Linked DNA regions of Caenorhabditis elegans. The protein of the gene in region 1 interacts with the protein of each later gene in a pairwise test. Each region holds a gene or a part of one and is shown in the gene's direction. Other genes may lie near its edges. The genes, in order: mls-2, zip-7, tbx-37 and hlh-25.

Region 1 (5,052 bases):
CCTCTAAGAGAATAATGGGAAATAATGTGGAAAATATCAATTCCATTTTCTCATTCTCATCCTCATCTTTCATTTCATTTCTGCTCATTTTCAGCTCATTTCTATGAACGCCACTACTATCAGCCATTACGTGTGTGCATGTTTTTCCTCGACCATATTATTCTGTACAAATACGTCGTCGCCTTATTTTACTATTACCGGTTTTAATGAGATTGTGTTGAATTATTTTCTCCCCCCTCCCTATTTGAAACCAAACGAGCGCGCACACAAACACATGAGAGCGGGCGGGTAAGCGTCTTGGGTCCCAATTACCGTATATCATGGAAGTGGGTGGAGCTGTGGACGTTCATTCAATACGGCTGTGCTCACCTCAACTCGTTTTATTTTGCGTTTGATCAAAACTAAAACTTGATTTTTTTTTCAAATGTTCGTCATTGGACTCTCAAGGGTTAATCAGGAAAAAAAACACATTTCGTGATTACTTGTTTGCTTCGAACTTTTTTTCAAGCTTCATAAGACTTCATGTGATAGTTTCCGATTCACTTCCATCGACTCTTGATTCATCTCTTTTCCCTCAGTTTTGCATGGGTTCTCTAAGGTATCAGAAATCTCGTCTAAAATTTTCATTTGTAAATTAAACCCCCATTCTGAAAATTAACAGTAATACGAGTGTTCTTTTTTCAGCCAAAAATGATTTTTTTGGAAAGTATGGAAAAAAGTAGTTTAAAAGATGTCATCACAATATTGGCAGTACTCTTTTCAACTTCCTGTACATCAAAATATCAAACCATTTACCGTATTTTCCCTATTAGGATTTCAACCCAGTTTCCATCTTTACCAGCTTAACACGAACAAAGTACTTGTCAATTTTTTTTAGCGGTTTGTAGTTTCTTATCTTTGATACTGAACACAGATATAACGTTTCAAATAGTGTGGTACAGTACTATTCAAGGAGTTACGGTATTCGAACACATTTCAAGTGAACAATGATCCTGAGTGTTTTGCTCATCGAGCCTATATTAGATATCTCTCCTGTTTCCATCATTCCTCATTATTACCTTTTGCACTCCGAATTCGACACTAACCGCGGATAAGCTGCTGCTTGACCCGTGCGTTCGCATAGCAACAACGATCCACTAACATCTCGAATTTCATATTTAAATTAATAATGTTTTGCTTAAAGCATAACTGATTAGCTTTTTGGCATTCTCGTTGGAATATACATTGAACCTACATTACAAAATCAATTGATCATCAATTTTGAAACAATTGATAGAGTCGCTCAGCGGAAAAAAAACGGTTAATTGTTGTGATTAATGGTGTTAACCAAACATAGTAATCCACTTAAACGAATTAGACATTAAGTTGGACAGGGCGTATTGCCTAGAAACATCTCTGTTTTGCTTGATCACTTAACACATTAGCGGAAAAGCAAGCAGGGAGTTCTTCGAGATCCTCAGATTCTGCTAAACTTCTCTCAACTGTATTCATAGTCGTTTTCCTATTGGTCAACCATTGTTTATATAGTTTTGATATCCGTTTTCTTAACACTACCAAAGACAATAATTTGACTTGGTCATCATTTCATTATTACTCCTCTCCTTCCCATTTCCTACACCCCATTTATCCGCGAACGCTCGCCCAGCTACCGTAGTCTTGAATGGTGGGGCGGGGCTACTCATTAGTATTCTCGATTAGCCCTCAGTTGACTCTATTTTTCTCAAACATGCCGACTTCAGTTATGAATCTCCCTATTGATATGACGACAATGAGCTCGCAAGAACGTCTCGAAAAAATGTCACAACTTCCAAAGATTGAACTGATGGAGGAAGAAGAGGAAGAAGAGATGAAGCCAAGTTCAGATAATAAGATTAAATTCAATATTTCTGAGTTGCTGGAAGATGACAGAAAACCGTAAGTTGAACATTTTCATTTATTTTCCTTTTATTTGTATAAAATTAAACTTTCAGAACTACACAAAGTTCCCCGTCGGCATCTTCAGAGGATAGCACCAATGAAATTGAGCAAACGGCGTTTAATTTCAATTTTGATCCAAAAATGAATCCGATTTCTGCCCTCCTGCAACTTCAGCAAACTTTCTTGAACGTCGGCAATCAACAAAACATGATCTCACCACTTACCATGTTCCCATTCTTTGGACTTCCGACTGCTCAACTAATGCACTTCAAAAACATGAGCAACCCAGGTCAGTAGATATTACCCAACTTCCTCTCTCCTTAGTCTGTCATTAGTTAATGTGTGAAAGAATCCTACCATATTTCATTTCATTCAAAACAGTGTTCCGTTTACCACTATAATTTTCGGTCGGTTCTCTTTATTCTCCGAATCTCAGAACACCCCTTAATACAGTAACTAATTCATTTTCTGACCCATTGTTATTGTATGGTCTCGAATTAGCCAAGTCTGGACTCATTAACAAGTTGAACAACGGTATTGGATGAACATATGGAAAAAGGAGGGGGGAGGTTGTCGGCGGATGCAGTTCCTTTCTTAGGATAAGAATCAGAATCGCTCGCCTGTGTTGAACTCAACTAATTATCTTTTGTTGGGTAACACCACACGCGGTATTCATTGATTCTTGAAAGGATGTGCTCAAACAGCAATAAGTTAATAACGTGAGAATACTAAACCCCATGAGCTCGGTGACGCGTGTCAGGTCCTTGACTTTTATTTTGATTCTAAAAATAAATACATTCAATTAAAAATTATAGAGAAACAACTTTTTTTTTCAGATTCAAAGTTTTTAATAATGAAATGTGGCCTGTAGGGAATTACCAAATGTCATACTAAAACATTTCAAAAATGTTTTAAATAAAATTTATTTTTAGTCAAAGAACATTGAAAACTCATAGTCCGCTTTTACCTAATTTTTGGCTCAAAATTTTTTTAAAAACAGTTTTATTTTGATATTAAGCCATTTTAACATTACAAAAATGCTGATTAATTATTTCCCCTCACAGGTCCAACTTTAAGCCATTAAGTTTTCCGCTCAGTTGATTTGGCAAAGCAAATCAGCGTATTGTAAAATAACATCATCACGCTGTTTTATTACGCTGACTCTGTTGATACATGTGGTTTTGCCACTGATTTGTTTTTGATAACATGTGAAATGATCAAAACAGCAATAGAAATCTCTTATTCTAATGAGCCTTTTCCATTTCGCATGAAAAATCAGGCATACGCATGAGCGCACATTTTTAGTCGTCAATATTCGTAACGTAAGCGGCTACACTTCGGTTTTTAAGAGATTCTAATTAGTCAACGAAGAATCAGTATTGAAAACTAAAGGTAGTTCTTAATATAGAGACATCTATTTATAAAGGTGTCATTTTGACCGACACCCGTGTCCTAGTAATCCCCCGTCCATTGAGATAATTAACCGATGGACCACGGGGGGATGTGTTATAATTGTGGCCTGTCAATGGAAGTATCTTAATGCAATATGGTTAATATGCCTGTCAGGAATTAAGTAATTGTTGAAAATGTGTTTCCTTACAGATGTTAATATTCAATCAGACAATGGAGAAGAGAAGGATGAAAAATCGGAGGGAAAAGATGGGGAGACCAGGGATTCCACTGGTGGCAGCCCGCTGGAGTCTGACGCAGAAGATGACGATGATAGTGAGTTGAATTTAAAAATGTGTCCACAAAAGTGTCCATAAACTGTATTTCAGTTGGCCGTGGAAGCGATGATGAAGCCAACTCTAGCGATCCATCACAAAATAGAAAGAAGAAAACCAGAACCGTCTTCAGCAGGAGTCAGGTATCAGAAATTGTACATTCCGAACTCAAATAATACTTTCATTCAGGTGTCCCAATTGGAAATGATGTTCGAATGCAAAAGATATTTGAGCAGTCAAGAGAGATCAAATTTAGCACAGAAGCTGCACTTGACGGAGACCCAAGTGAAAATTTGGTTCCAAAATCGACGAAACAAGTTCAAGAGACAAGCTCAGACTGATGACACGAACATTTCCCTGCAGATGCATAGAGCTAATGTGTTTTCGATTCCAGCAACCACAGCTCTTACATCTCCGTGAGTTTACTGTTTCATGAAATTAATTCTAAATTTTATATTTCAGAATCCTTACGATCCCAACGACCAGTGCTGGTGTGAACATGAGAAATATGATTTCATCTCCAATGGATGCTTCTGCAACTGCCGCCGCGCGGTTTCTTTTCGGTTTTGGTACACTTCAGGCACAGCAAAACTTGAATGCGTCGGCTCAAGCGCAGAACATGTGAACACCTTATTACTAATTTAGACTCACCCCCTGTGCAATTCAACTCAACCTCAACACATTTTTCATCTCATCACTGACTCTATCTCTTCACACTTGATTTTTGATTCATCGCCCTTCGTATATATTTTATTTTTCATACCCTATATGTTTATTATGTGTCATTCTGTGTATTTTATAAACTATCTTCGAGCACATGATAATTCAGTTCATCAATCCTTTCTCTTTCACTAAATAATTATTTATTGAGTAATAAATTTACATTATGAATACATACAATACAAAAATGATAGAAACTTTTTGATGTGTAAAAGACCATTTTCCAACAGATTATGATGGTAGCAAAGCTACTCTTTTCACATACATACATATACTAATATTTAAGATGAAATTTCAAAACAAATGTTCAAATTCCATCAACTGCAGAAATATCAGAAAACTTTTATTCTGCTTGAAGAACGAAAACTTACAAAATTTCCAAAAATTTGAATTGTATTACTTGGATATAAAATAATAGTTTGTCTCCTTTGTATGTAGTATCTGTTTTTTTAAAGAGTTTTTGTTGTGTTTTGAAAGGTTAATGGTTAAAATTAGTAGAATGAATTAGGGTAGTGTAGTGTAGGTGTTCAGTAGGCAACTTTGAAAAAAGTAAGTTGTTATGCTTTGAAATAATATTGGAGAGTCAAAAGTATTAGAAATCTCTGTCTTAAACAGTACAAAAACGCTCGAGAAATTTTTGAAGAACTGTTTTGAAGAACTCCAAAAAAAATTTCTAGAAATTTCAAAAATT
Region 2 (5,228 bases), on another chromosome or scaffold:
CAAATTCGCAGTTGACAACTTTTTCCAAATTTATCCGGAACCAAGATAGACGTATTAGAAGTTGGTAGTGGCCGAGGTTTTTCACCTCCACGGCCACAAGGCCAACACCCCCCAACTCATTATACCCCCGTGGTCCTAATGTGGTAACGCAATAATCTGTGTGTGCGTATGTTCAAGTACACATACCCCAAAAACTTGCGTAATTTCTTTGAATTTACCGCTATTCTGACATACGGAAATTTGAATATTATCGGGGGAAACGCGTGAAAACGTATTGAATGGAAAAAAATGTTGAAAATAATTTTAATTTTTTCGTGAAACTGGGAAATAATTTTCAAAAAAAACGTGTTTTTTTTTCAAAGTCGCCAACTAAAAATCAATAATCGAAAAAATCAGTTTCGAATTTTGTTTAAAAATTCCATTCCACTGAAACGAAGAAGAAGCCAAATGATTGCACAAGTCAGTTTAAGCCTGCCTGCCTGCCTGCCTGCAAAAAATGCTCCGAAATTTACAGCTCGTGCTTCCAATTCTTGTGATTTTCGGATCTCTGGTGATGAATTGTGGCGGAAAGAAGAAGAAGTCAGCAAATTCTCCGGAAGGAACAAATAAATCAAAGTTAGGGGCTCCAAAGGAGAAGAAGGATGAAACTGTGAGTTGTGTGACCGCGACGCGACCGCAACGCGACCGCAACGCATTGTTTAATTAATTTTGCTGATTTGGGATACGTACCACAGGTTTCTGCCTTCCCTCCTATTCTGAAATGTAAGAGTTTTGCCGAACTAGGCCATTTTGGCTCAGTAGATTTACGGGGCGTTGCGTGTCGCGTCGCGGCTCGGATTTGTCCGTGTGAAGTACACGACACTTTCCCACGCGTTGTCCGGCAGGCGATTGTCAATAGAGCGCGAATAATGCAATGAGGAAGGTCCTACTTTTAAAGAAACAATTCTGATTTCAGGAAGGCAACTACGAGGAGCTCGCCGTGCCACAATAATTTTCAGGATTCTCATTTTTCACTTGAATAAACCAGTTTTATTGGGATTTTTGTGTTAATTTTTGAATTTTTGAATTGGTGCCTGTTTCATGTGAAGCATTTAACAAGTGGAATTTACAAGGGAAAATTGTTAGCAAGTTGAAGTACGAGCGTTTTTTACAGAAGAAGTAGTATCTCCTCAGCCATTGTAGCTATCAAAAAGTTGTCAACTGGGAAAATATTTATAAATTTATGTTGAACATTTTTTTAGTTGGCAACTTTTCACTAGCTCCGATACTTTTTCAGTTATGGTAGTTTTTCGCGCAAAACTCCAACTAAAATTACCGATTTTTAAGTTTGAAGGCTTATATCTCCTTAGCTATTGAAGTTATCAAAAAGATTTTAACTATGAAAATATTGCAAAATTGATTTTAAACATTTTGTTGGTTGACAACTTTTTATTAGCTCTTACACTTTTCAAGTTATGCCCAGTTTTCCCCACGGAACTCCAAGACATGCCCACCTATTGCCACCTCGTTATACATTTAGGACCACCACCAATCTCTTTTGCGGTACATTATTCAACTAACAGCAGACGGTAGTTAGTTAGTTAGAGAACAACGACGCAACGATTGCGCCATTACAGTTCAAATCATCATAAAAAGAGCCGCCCGTCTTTAGAGACCCCGTGGGCAAATGGGGGAGGAGGCGGGTCTAGTAGGGCCTGTAGAGGTGTCCTGTTTGCGTGCAGACTTTTTCTCAGCATGCGGTAGCTCATAAGTTCCGGTGTAATAGTTTGGTAACTGTTGAGTAATACGGTTTTGGTTTTGAAAATTTAAAAAAAATTCTGTTTCAAAAAAATTTGTTTTATTATAATTTTTTTCAACTTATTACTGTGTTCTTTGGAAGCTTTTTCCTAAATTTCTAGCCATTTTCCACCAATTCTCCACCAATTTCCAGATTATTTCCAGATGATGACAGACATTCAACAGCAGCTGGCTGCCTCGAGAATGTGTGATTCGGATTCTATAAAGGCATTCAATCAGATGTACGCACAGAATCCGTATGGAGCAGGAGCTTTTGATAAGGTTTGTAATTTTTTTTGGAATTTTTCTGAAATTTGAAAAAGTAAAAAAATTTTTTTACTGTTTCAAAAATGCTTTTTAACAAAAAATTAAATTTTTTTCTTAGAACTACTCCGCAGCCACTGCTCTCCCATTTTTTGCTCAACATTTCGCGCCATACGCGAATCCCCATGCCACGTCATCTTTTTCCCCGTCATCGTCTTCCACGTCATCCACCACGTCGTCTCAAAATCAGCAGAGTGGCAGCAGTGGGAGTAAGAAGAAAAAACCGGTTCCGGTGCCGGAAAATCAAAAGGATGAGGTAAGAGATTAAATGGCCGAGAAATGAGAAAACTCGGCCACCAGAAAAAAACGGCCGATCTGCTAGTGTTAGATGTGGCCGAGAAAAAATGGCGGCCGAGGTTTCCTGGATTCCTTCTGCCACAGGGTTCTGGTTTTCCTCATTGAATGTTTCGCGCTCCATTGACAATCGCCCGCCGGACAACGAGTGGGAGAGTGTCGTGTACTCCACACGGACAAATCCGAGCCGCGACGCGACACGCAATGCGACGTAAATCTATCCCAGATATGGCCGAGCCAAAATGGCCTAGTTCTGCAAACTCTTCCATTTCAATTTATGAGGCCAGAAAACCGTGTTCTGCTATGAAAATTGAACTGTTTTTTTTAATTTCCGCTGGTTTTCAAAGTGGTGGCCGAGTTTTTTCTCTAATTTCACTGCCACGAAGTTGAAAAATTGATTTTTTTAAACTGAAAATAGAGTTTTTTTCTGATTTTTCAGTGAAAAAACGTTATTTTGGACCAATTTTGCTGATTTTTCTCGTATTTTGCATTTAAATCGAGATAAGTTGACAATTTTAATGTAAAATACAAAAAAAATCAGCAAAAAAGATCCAAAATAAAGTTTTTTAGCCGTATTTTTCTTAAAAAGGCGTATGAATTAAAAAGTCGTATGAATTTAAAAAGTCGTATGAATTAATAGCTAGCCACGTGTCGATTTACGGAGGCCGTGTACTCCTCGTGGAGTTGATTTCTCTGGGTTTTCGTTTGAAAAAAGTATTTTTATGCCAATTTTGCTGATTTTTCTTGTATTTAACGTTTGAATCGGCAATTTTTGAGTTAAAAACTATAAATTATGTCATAAAATGACAATTTACCATCAAAATCCAACAAAAATCAGTGAAAATTGGCCAAAATCAAGCTTTTCAGCCGTTTTTTTTTCTTCAAAAAACCAGTGTAAACTCTTCCACGAGGAGTACACGAGCTCCGTAAATCGACAGCTAATAGTCCAAAATCCTCTCGAATAAATCCAATTTTCCAGGCCTATCTCGACCGGCGCCGCCGAAACAACGAAGCCGCCCGTAAATCCAGAGAATCTCGCAAGAAAGTCGATCAGGACAATAGTGTTCGTGTAACATATTTGGAGAGGGTACGTTTTCAAAATTTCCCATAGATAATAATCCTTTGCATCATTTTTTTTGGCGGGTTTTTTTTTCCAAAAAAGGGCTTAATTGATGACGTCATCAGTCAACAGGTGTCAGCCTGGCTACGCAATAACTTTGAGAACGCGCCCACGCCGACTTTTCCCAATTTTTCAATAAATTTCGGGAATATCAGATGGCTTTTTGTAGATAACCGACACTTTTAAAAGTACTTTTTGATAGTTTTGCAAACGCGCTCTAGTGCACACGTACAGTAACGTTTGTTCCCTTAATGGTGTTCCACTTTTCGATATGTTCACCAAGAATGGTGTTGGAAAGATTTGTTGGTTTGGAGCAGTAGGTAGTGGACGCAGTTCGGTGTGAGCACTCGTTGGATCAATTCCAGGGAGTGGCTTTTCTTTTTTGTTTCGTTAAAGTTTAACTTTACTTTTTTTTCGGACTAAAAATAAAGAGTAACTCTGATAAAAGGCTTAGTTCTGACGGCATAAAATTTTTATCAATCAATTAATAATTATTTTTTCTCCAGGAAAATCAATGCTTGCGAGTCTACGTCCAACAGCTCCAACTACAAAACGAATCGATGAGACAACATTTGCTCCTGCAAAATCCGGGCACTATAGACACTATGGACCCGATTGCCATGGCGAATATGCCGAGTTATTAAGCTTCTCCCCTCCCACACAAAATCATCTCATTCTTGCACACACATTCAAATCCTTGCTTCTGTATCGAATTTCCACACACCACCCTCTCATTGCGTCACTTTTTTTTTGTAATTTTCTGTAAAAATATAGCTATTTTTGAAGAAAAATGCATTTTTTCAAAAAAAATAAATGAGCGACTACGGTAAGCAATTCCGAGTCTGCAAACACCGTCACGGCAGAATGCACAGAAAAACTCATTTTCAAATTATTTTTCGCTCAGTTTTCGCTAATTTCTCCGAATTTTCGCGTTTTTTCTTTAATTTTTGTTAGTTTTTGATTGTATTTTGTCGATTTTTCACTCTTCGAAGCTGTACCGACTGTAATTTGACACTTTCCGCACGAAAAAATGAGAAAAATCTCAGAAAATAGGTGTATTCAGATTTTTCCCCATTTTCCTCCGATTTTCTGGGCATTTTCTGGGCATGTTTTTCAAGCTAAATTCGCTGATTTTCGAGCTAAAGCAACTTTAAAATCCAAATTCTCTAATAATAAAACAGTTTTTCAGCTTACTCGACTTTTTCCCGGAAATTTCTGAATTTTGCTCATTTTCCGAGGTATTCGTGGATTTTCCTCCCGCTTTTGACCAGAATTAATGCTGAAATTCAATTTTTCAGCTAATTGTACCCTAAAATTGGACGGAAAAATGATTTTTCCATTATTTTCCCGGCAAAGCATCACCTGAGTGATTTTTACTACTTTTTCGACGGAATATATAACGTTTTCAGTAATTTCTCGTTAAATTTCCCAAAAAACTCGTTCAAAATGCTGGAAAAAGTCGAAAAAACTCGAAATTCCAAGAAAAACCAGTTTTGAATATTTTCCCGGGGGGTACGGTAGATTTCGTCGTGTGCAAACACCGTCACGGCAAATTGCACAGAAAAACTCATTTTCAAATTATTTTTCGCTCGTTTTCTCTGATTTTCTGCATTTTTTCATTTTTTCTATAGCTTTTTCATGATTTTTTCGGGTCTAAACATCTAAAAATCACTAAAATTGCATAATTCCGCCGATTTTTCAGCGCTTAGAATGC
Region 3 (4,501 bases), on another chromosome or scaffold:
AGAAATTGCATTGCATATGCAAGTTTCAATTGGAAAAAAATGAGGAAAGGCTTAAAACTTATAACTCCTGTCACGCGATTGCTGTAGGGCAGAAGTGTGCGGCAAATTTGGCAAATTCGGCAAATTTAGCAAATTTGCCGTGATGAGCGAACTCCTAAAAATTAGAAAATTTCTGATATTTTTTTGGAGCACCAAAATTACGGAGTTCTTAGCACACGATTGATTTTTGAATAACGTCCATGTGGTCGGCCTACATAGAATTCAAAATAATTAAATTTTATGTTATTTTACTAGAATTTTTAGTACAAAATCAATAGTTTTTGTCAAATTAAAAAAATCCAATTTTTTGTGGTGTGCGGCGAATATCAAAAATATACTTTTACGAAATTTGCCGGATTCGGCAAATTTGGCAAGTTTTCTGGACACTCCTGCTGTAGAAGCTACTAAAAAGTTGCCAACTAATAAAATATTGTAAATTTTTTCACTATAATTTTTGTTGAAAAATCTCTGACAAATCCCATGATACTCCTCTCTAAATCATTCTCCCGCCCTCCCGCTGAGCACGACACATCTTCTCCTTCAGAGCCAATTCGCACCGCTATCACTAAAGTGTGAGGTGTCGAGGTGTAGGTGGAGGTATACTTTCGAAGTGTGAACTACACATTCTGGATTGTTAAAGACTACAGGAGCACAAAGATGCTCAGTGGGAGGTGAAAGAGGCGTTCTGGATTCTGACAGTAATATTGGCTCACAGTTTGGTGAGTTTTCAATTTTTTTTTTGGTATTTTTTCGTCTTTTTTGCTAATTCGTGGTGTAGCTCATCATTATTACTATGGTGTGAATTATTTTGAATTTTTTTGTTAAAAATTTTTTGGCTAGAAGTTCAGTAAATTGACACTTATAGGGTGTAAAAATGTGAAAAAACCAGCTAATAACTTTATGCCAAAAATTCTGGAAAATAAAATATCATTAAAATTGAATTACTTTAAATTTTGTGCAGGCAGACTACACTAACCTTATTGAAAAACCAAACGTTTGCTAAGAATTCCGTATTTTTATTTCTCCAAAAAACACATTTGCCGAATTTGCTGAATTTGTCCAGCTCGGCAAATTTTAAGATTTGCCGCACACCTCTGGTTTCAACCAAAAAAAGGTTTAAAAAAATGCTATAAAATTCGAATTTCCGCGCATTTTTTGATTTTCTAGAAAGTTCTTTTTACGTCTTCGAGTATGAAATAAAATTTGAGCTTCTGTTTAAAGTTATCTGCTCGCGAATTTCAAATCCAACATTTCCAGTGCTAACGGGGGTTTTCCATCTTTAATATTTATAAATTTCAACTACACTTTTCCAGTGTTCCCCCGTTAAGAATACAGCCTAACCCTCTGTTCTTCAATTAGGAGAAGGGCCCCCATGCGTTCATATGTATGTACCAAGTTGTGCCCGACTGCCACGTGTCCACCACTACGCGTGATCTACCTCTTCCCGCTCCTCCCACTTACCGGCTCAGTTTCAGAGCATGAGTGAGAGTGTTGTTTGCACTTTTATTACAATTAGCGCCATTATTATTATTTTATTGTTTTACTTCCGTTCTCACCTTTTGAAATCTTTTGTATTAATATTTTCATAATAATTTCCCTCTATTACAGCATCACTATGTACTCGTGCACCTCTCCTTCTGGAATTGAGGTCTCTTTGAACAAGCCGGAGATTTGGGAAAAGTTCTACCCGAAAACTGAAATGATTGTGACGAGAAAGCGTGGGAGAGTCATTTTTCCGCATTTGGATTATAACGTCAAAGGATTGGATCCGGATAGTCTCTACTCGATTTATATTCATTTGGAACGTGTTGACGGGATTAAGTGAGTTGGAATAAATGATAGAAAAAAGTTGTCAACTAGTAAGTAAATTGTAGGAAATTAAATTTACTACAATTTGGTAGTTGACAACTTTTTGATTAGATGCATGCCTAGAGAGATATACAAGTTTAAAGTTGGAATTTTAAACTGCTATAGCATAGAGTAAATTTATTTTGCTTTAATTGACGTAAATATTGAACTGTGATGACCAAATATAGCCGTTAAAATTTTTTCTAAATTTTTTAAATGATTTTTCAAACTGATTTTTTCCGGATTAAGTTTGCCAGGATATTTCGAAAAAGTGAGTGGAGTCTAATCTCCCATTTTTTTTTGACAAAATTAGAAAAAAATCATAAATTATTTAGAAAAGTTGGAAAATTTTTTTAACAGTTATATTTGGTCATTACGGGCTATTTTCTGTCACTTGAACCAAAAATTGTTTCTTCTCAGCTTCTGAAGTTCCAGCGCCCGCAACTCTTTTAGGAATTGCCCTATAGAAAAGCAGTTAACTAACAGTTTGTAGATATTTGAATTTTCTACAGTTTTTTAGTTGACAAAATTTTGATAACTTTTGTAGTTTTTGAAATATTGATGCTAATAATGCCCCTCAATATTAAAAATCGGAAAAATCGGATAAAAAGCGGATTTTAATGGGGTTATTCAAGTAATTTAGCAAAATGTATTGAAATACATTTGTGACGTCACAAATGTATTTAAATACATGTTTTTATATACTTGAATACAGTTGTGACGTAATTTTTCTACACTTTTTAATTTTCCGACAATACTTGAATAACCCCATAAGCGCATTTTTCTGCAACAAAATCAATATAAAAATATTCGTTTCTAATTTTCAAAAAAAATATCTCGTTTCTAATTTTCCATTTCCAGATACAAGTTCGATGCCGGAGAATGGAAAGAAGCCGGAAAAGGTGATCCAATTCTTCCAATCCAGTACAAAGAGCATCCACGTGGCAAGCGTACTGGAACAGAATGGATGAGTGAGCCCGTCTCGTTTGCTCACCTCAAAATCACTAATGACCCGGAAAACAAGGATCAGAAGCTGATTTTAGCTCAAAGTCTGCACAAATACATTCCAGTTTTGCATATCAAACAGCTGGATCCTTATAAAGGAACATTTCAAATGGATTTTCATGGAGTTGAATTTCGCTTGGAGGCTACGCAATTTATCGTTGTTACTGCTTATCAGGTTGGGATTTTCAGCAATATTTCGAAAACTACAAATGATATAAAAAGTTCACGGATTTCTGGTTTCCCTCATAAACTGAAATGGGAGAGTTTGTGCCGAACTAGGCATTTTGGCTCGGCCATATCTGGGGTAGATTTACGGCGCGTTGCGTGTCGCGTCGCGGCTCGATTGTAAAACAAAATGTATTTGTCCGTGTGGATGTGGTGTATCTGTGGTGTTTGCGCACTTTCGAAGCTACAGTAACCTCGAAATGGCCGAATTTGGCTTTAAAAAACGGTTTAGTTATAAAAAAAAATCGAGAGTAATTCGAATTTGAGCTTTAAAATTTTGAAAAATCATACATTTTTCCCGTAGTTTTTAATACAAGTCTAGGTAAATGTTTACCAATTTTATGTAATTTTCCAGAACGAAGAACTCACAAAACTCAAGGTCCATCACAATAAATTCGCCTCCGGATTCCGTTCAAATGGCAAGAGACGGCTTTCTTCAGAGTCTGAAAATTCGGAAAACTCCCCGCCAAAGCGCAGCGCCTCGGCAATTTCTTCATTAACCCCACCAGCAATCTCCCCGCCAATGGATTATACCCAGCAAAACCCATATTTTTTCAACCAAAACTTTTTCTCGACTCCGCAGAGCCACCAGCCACAGTTTGCTGCTCATAGTGCCAATGCTCAAAATTACAATAATTTTGGAGCTCAAAATGGGGCTCAATTTGATTGGAATGTGTATTATCAGAGACAATGGTACTGGCAGCAGCAAATGATGATGTCAGGTGGAATTGGACAACCACAAATGCTCAATAATGGATTTCCGAATTTGTGATTTTTTTTAAATATTTATATTTATCGCTTTTTTTTAATTTTTAGCTTTTACAATGATCTTGAAAATAAATTTATTGAATGCACTTTTAATTGAGGATTGTTTTCATAGAATGTAGATAGTTAGCGAAAGTTGGCGAAAACTGCCGCAAGTTGCCTAAAGTTGTTGTAAGTTGGCGAAAGTTGGCGAAAGTTTACGAAATTTACAAAAAAATCAGGATTTGCCGGAAAATTAGTAAAGCAAAAGCCGTTTAAAAATTGCCGATAGTTGGTGGAAAGTTCCAAAATTTAGGGTAAATTATTTTTAAAAACGCAAAAAAATAGCAAAACTTCCCAAAAGTTGCTCTGAATTCGAGAAAATTATGAAACCGATTTTTAAATAATTTATTTATTTATATTACCAGCCGTGGACCGCACCTCCGGCGCGGCCCCCGACTTCTGGAGCTGAAAACCAATTTTTCTGAGACTACCGTAATCATACAGTACTCCTACCGTACCACCATTGTACCACTACAGTACGCCGACTATATCCCTACACTAACCCCAACTCACTATCCCTCCAGAAGCTAAAACTTCACAGACTACAAAAACTACATAGACTATAAACTATGGACAA
Region 4 (3,273 bases), on another chromosome or scaffold:
TGAAGAAGGGGACCCAGATGATGACGAAGTTGGAGAGGAAGACATTATGAGTCAAGGATCTGAAATATAATAATAATAGTTAACAAAAGATTATTAGACAAAAACCGTAATAGGGAGACTACAAAATATGAAAGGCAGTTCAAATTAAAGACTTATGAAAACGTTGAAAAGAACCAACCTTACAGTTCAAGTATGCAAAAACATAATGACTACCTTCCATTATATGTTCGAGTTTTTTCTTCAATAGGCGGGGATTCTCATCGTTTGGAATATCATGGGAATCTGATATCCATACCTTTATTACGCGTGGTTCTCATGGTGCATCGAGTACCACATCTCCAGTTCTTGCCGTGGCAGCCTGAGAACCCAAGCAATGCGAAGGGTCACAACCTGAACGAAGTTATTGATTGGTGGGAAAAAATAATCCTGAAATGAATATTTGGTAAAATCGGAGCTCGATGGAATTTAAAAATGTAAATATATAATACAAAAGAAGAATTTAGAATATTTAAAATAAAAATGCATATTAATTAACTCAAATAATCAAATACATGAATTAGGTTATAGTATTTTTCCTTTACATGATAGTTTAAAATATTTATATCAAGCTGTTCTAGAAATGTTTTAAAAAACAATATCCAAGTTTAAAAAAATCTCAATTTATTTTTAATTTACGAGGTTTCCATCTCAGCGTGTGACACTTTTCTTATAACTTGGCACCTACATGTATCCGGTGTGAATTTTTTCTGTTGCTGTGTGAGCATTTCCAGCAAACCGGAGTTCTCAAAATCAGTAAGGTTATATGTTAAAATTAAACTGGCTTATTATTTTCAGAAAATGAAAAACTGCCATATTTGAGTGATAAACTGAATGAATCCGTAAAATTTGGTAGTTGTATGTTCTATGCATTATCATATACATCAATCTGGTAATTTTTATTAGAATCAGATCTTGAATATTGGAAACTTTGCGAATTAAAGACAAATAATGATTAGGCAAGCTGATTAAATGAGTGATAAAAATGGTTAATGTCAATTCACAGTCTCCGCCGAAATTTCCCAGGCTGTACCCAATCAATATCCAGTCGTGGCAAAACTGGAGATGTCCTGACTCGTTCTCATGAGAACCTCACTGATGAACCATGGGAACCCGTGATGGGGACTGTAAAAATAGAGATTTCAGAATAATTCCCATGGCTCCAAACGCTTGATACAAAGCTCCACCCTCTGAACAATAATGGAACTATAAAAGGTAACCATTTATTCATTGTTCATTTACTTTCTTAGTGGATCACTGGTCTGCTGGTTTAGTATACTTTTTGATAATTGTAACATCAGGAAAGTGTACTGATTTTGATCAATTACTTTTAAAGCATTCAGTGAACTGTATACTTCTAGAAAAACAGTACGAGTTATCTCACTAAACTAAATCAATTTGTGCTGCTTTCTTGGTCCCATTTATCTGTTTTGTCACAATTATTCCTTTTTAACGGCTCATCTTGAATTTTTATAAATTCTACATTTCTTATTGATTTTAAATTAATGAAAATTATTAAATTTCAGATGCCAAAAGTTATTCAGTCTTCAATGAGCGATTATCGTTCCGTCCCATACAATCAAACTCCAAAATCAGCTTCTGAACGGAAAAGAAGAAATATTACAAACGAGTTGATTAACGAATGCAAGACGATTGTTCAAAAATCAGAAGAAGAACATATATCGTAAGTTTAAATACTCTGTTAGCTTAAAATAGTTATTAAACTAATTCATTTTTTAGACAAGAAGTAGTTCTCTTCCGAATTGTGAAACTTGTGACTGGAGTTAATCTGGAATCTAATTTCTCATCGAATGACCTCTCCGAATCTACAAGACGGAAGTTTGATACTGAATCCGAAAGAAGAAAAGTGAAGACTGAACGTGAAAAGATTCGAAGAAAGAAACAAGATGACTGTTATGCTGAATTGAAATTCTTCATTTTGAACAAACAAATGGGAAGTTACGAGCAACGGTAAGAGTTTCATTATGGCTAATAAAAATTCAAAAAATTATTTTCAGATTAAAACTTGAACGGATCACAATTCTAGAAATCATCATTGATTACATTAAACACAATTCCGATCTTCTGTATCCAGAAACAATTCCCCAAATACTTCCTCTTTTAGCTGGAAAATCAACTGCTACTTGTGAGAACAAAGAGAATGAAAAGCCAAAAACACGAATGGAAGTGAAGGATCTCTTCCCAAGATTGACGTTTCAAGAAGTTCAAGAATCCCCAACATCTACTTCTCCATTGCTCACATTTCCATGTATTCCAATGATCCCAACTACTCAGTTCAATGTCTTGTCAAACTACAACACCGTTCCATCAATATTTTCTGCTCCCCTCCGATTCATTCTTCCATCACTTCAAATCTTAACACCAGAAACTAGTGACGAGGAAGAAAATGAAGAAACCCTCGATATAATTAACTAGTCTATCGATCTCCTGCAAATTTACAATTTCTGAAAAAAAACTTATTATACTCTATTCTAAGGCTGTCAAAACTTTCCTGGTTTTCTTTCATTATATTTTTCACATCCCCGTAATCTCAAATTATGCCACATTCACAATATCAACTTGTCATTGTTTCATTATGTCACCAAACTTTTTGAATGTTTATCTAATGCCAATATATTGAAAATGTATTATACTTATGATAAGCCAAATTCTAATAAATTGAAATTTTGTTTTCACATTTCAACATTAATTTGTTCATTCTTGCCACATACCAAACCTATTGACCTACACCTGAGTATTGTATTAGAGAATATTCAATGGTGCGCTCTTCAGAAAATTCAAAAAATTTAAACTTACGTCAAAGTTTTGTGGGATGTCCCATTCTGGAAAAAAAACACATAGGGAAAATTGAAAAAGTGGCGATAAACTTTTCCATACGGGGAAGTTCTAAAATTAAAGCTTTTCGATGTTTTCTTAAATGAAGCCGGTCAGCAGATTGTCGACATCATCCGGAAACATCCGATATTCAGTGAAGCTGGGACAGGATGTCATTTTTGAGGTTTTTTGAAAAATTAATAATCTTCCCTACTAAATCATTTGAAAATTTAATTTTTTCGGAAATTGCAATCATTTTAAAAATTAGTTTCTAAATTTCCCAAAAAAAGATAAATAAATAAAACCGAAAAAACTTTGATTTTCGCTGCGAGACCCGTAGATGGACAACAAATTATTTTGCCATTTTATGGGCGTGGCTTTCCCCTTTTTATAGAAAATTTT

The links.
Region 2: the proteins of mls-2 (region 1) and zip-7 interact in a two-hybrid assay, tested with the Caenorhabditis elegans proteins (one large-scale study listed by BioGRID).
Region 3: the proteins of mls-2 (region 1) and tbx-37 interact in a two-hybrid assay, tested with the Caenorhabditis elegans proteins (one large-scale study listed by BioGRID).
Region 4: the proteins of mls-2 (region 1) and hlh-25 interact in a two-hybrid assay, tested with the Caenorhabditis elegans proteins (one large-scale study listed by BioGRID).

What each region holds. Positions count from the first base shown.
Region 1 is NC_003284.9:4,758,287-4,763,338, reverse strand, and holds mls-2 (Homeobox protein mls-2), read left to right. Parts: upstream 1-1,698; 5' UTR 1,699-1,726; coding exon 1,727-1,914; intron 1,915-1,970; coding exon 1,971-2,206; intron 2,207-2,444; exon of another isoform or gene 2,445-2,643; intron 2,644-3,519; coding exon 3,520-3,642; intron 3,643-3,695; coding exon 3,696-3,784; intron 3,785-3,830; coding exon 3,831-4,057; intron 4,058-4,103; coding exon 4,104-4,266; 3' UTR 4,267-4,535; downstream 4,536-5,052. UniProt on the Caenorhabditis elegans protein: Transcription factor that binds to the promoter of target genes. Regulates fate specification and/or differentiation of multiple cell types arising from the embryonic mesodermal (M) lineage and the ABp(l/r)paa precursors.
Region 2 is NC_003282.8:16,502,383-16,507,610, reverse strand, and holds zip-7 (BZIP domain-containing protein), read left to right. Parts: upstream 1-1,928; 5' UTR 1,929-1,941; coding exon 1,942-2,058; intron 2,059-2,161; coding exon 2,162-2,356; intron 2,357-3,373; coding exon 3,374-3,481; intron 3,482-4,020; coding exon 4,021-4,158; 3' UTR 4,159-4,701; downstream 4,702-5,228. Other genes in the region: Y51H4A.935 (uncharacterized protein), read left to right, coding at 448-459, 515-649, 956-991.
Region 3 is NC_003281.10:11,224,272-11,228,772, reverse strand, and holds tbx-37 (T-box protein 37), read left to right. Parts: upstream 1-1,647; 5' UTR 1,648-1,654; coding exon 1,655-1,860; intron 1,861-2,748; coding exon 2,749-3,067; intron 3,068-3,472; coding exon 3,473-3,889; 3' UTR 3,890-3,965; downstream 3,966-4,501. UniProt on the Caenorhabditis elegans protein: Transcription factor. Required for mesodermal induction, acting redundantly with transcription factor tbx-38. Together with tbx-38, acts by inducing cell fates in the AB lineage, thereby playing a role in development of the anterior pharynx.
Region 4 is NC_003280.10:5,533,678-5,536,950, forward strand, and holds hlh-25 (Helix-loop-helix protein 25), read left to right. Parts: upstream 1-1,561; 5' UTR 1,562-1,562; coding exon 1,563-1,720; intron 1,721-1,776; coding exon 1,777-2,007; intron 2,008-2,054; coding exon 2,055-2,472; 3' UTR 2,473-2,728; downstream 2,729-3,273. Other genes in the region: hlh-26 (Helix-loop-helix protein 26), read right to left, coding at 1-45. UniProt on the Caenorhabditis elegans protein: Probable transcription factor. Modulates lifespan and also recovery from the developmentally arrested larval state known as dauer, perhaps acting upstream of phosphatase PTEN/daf-18.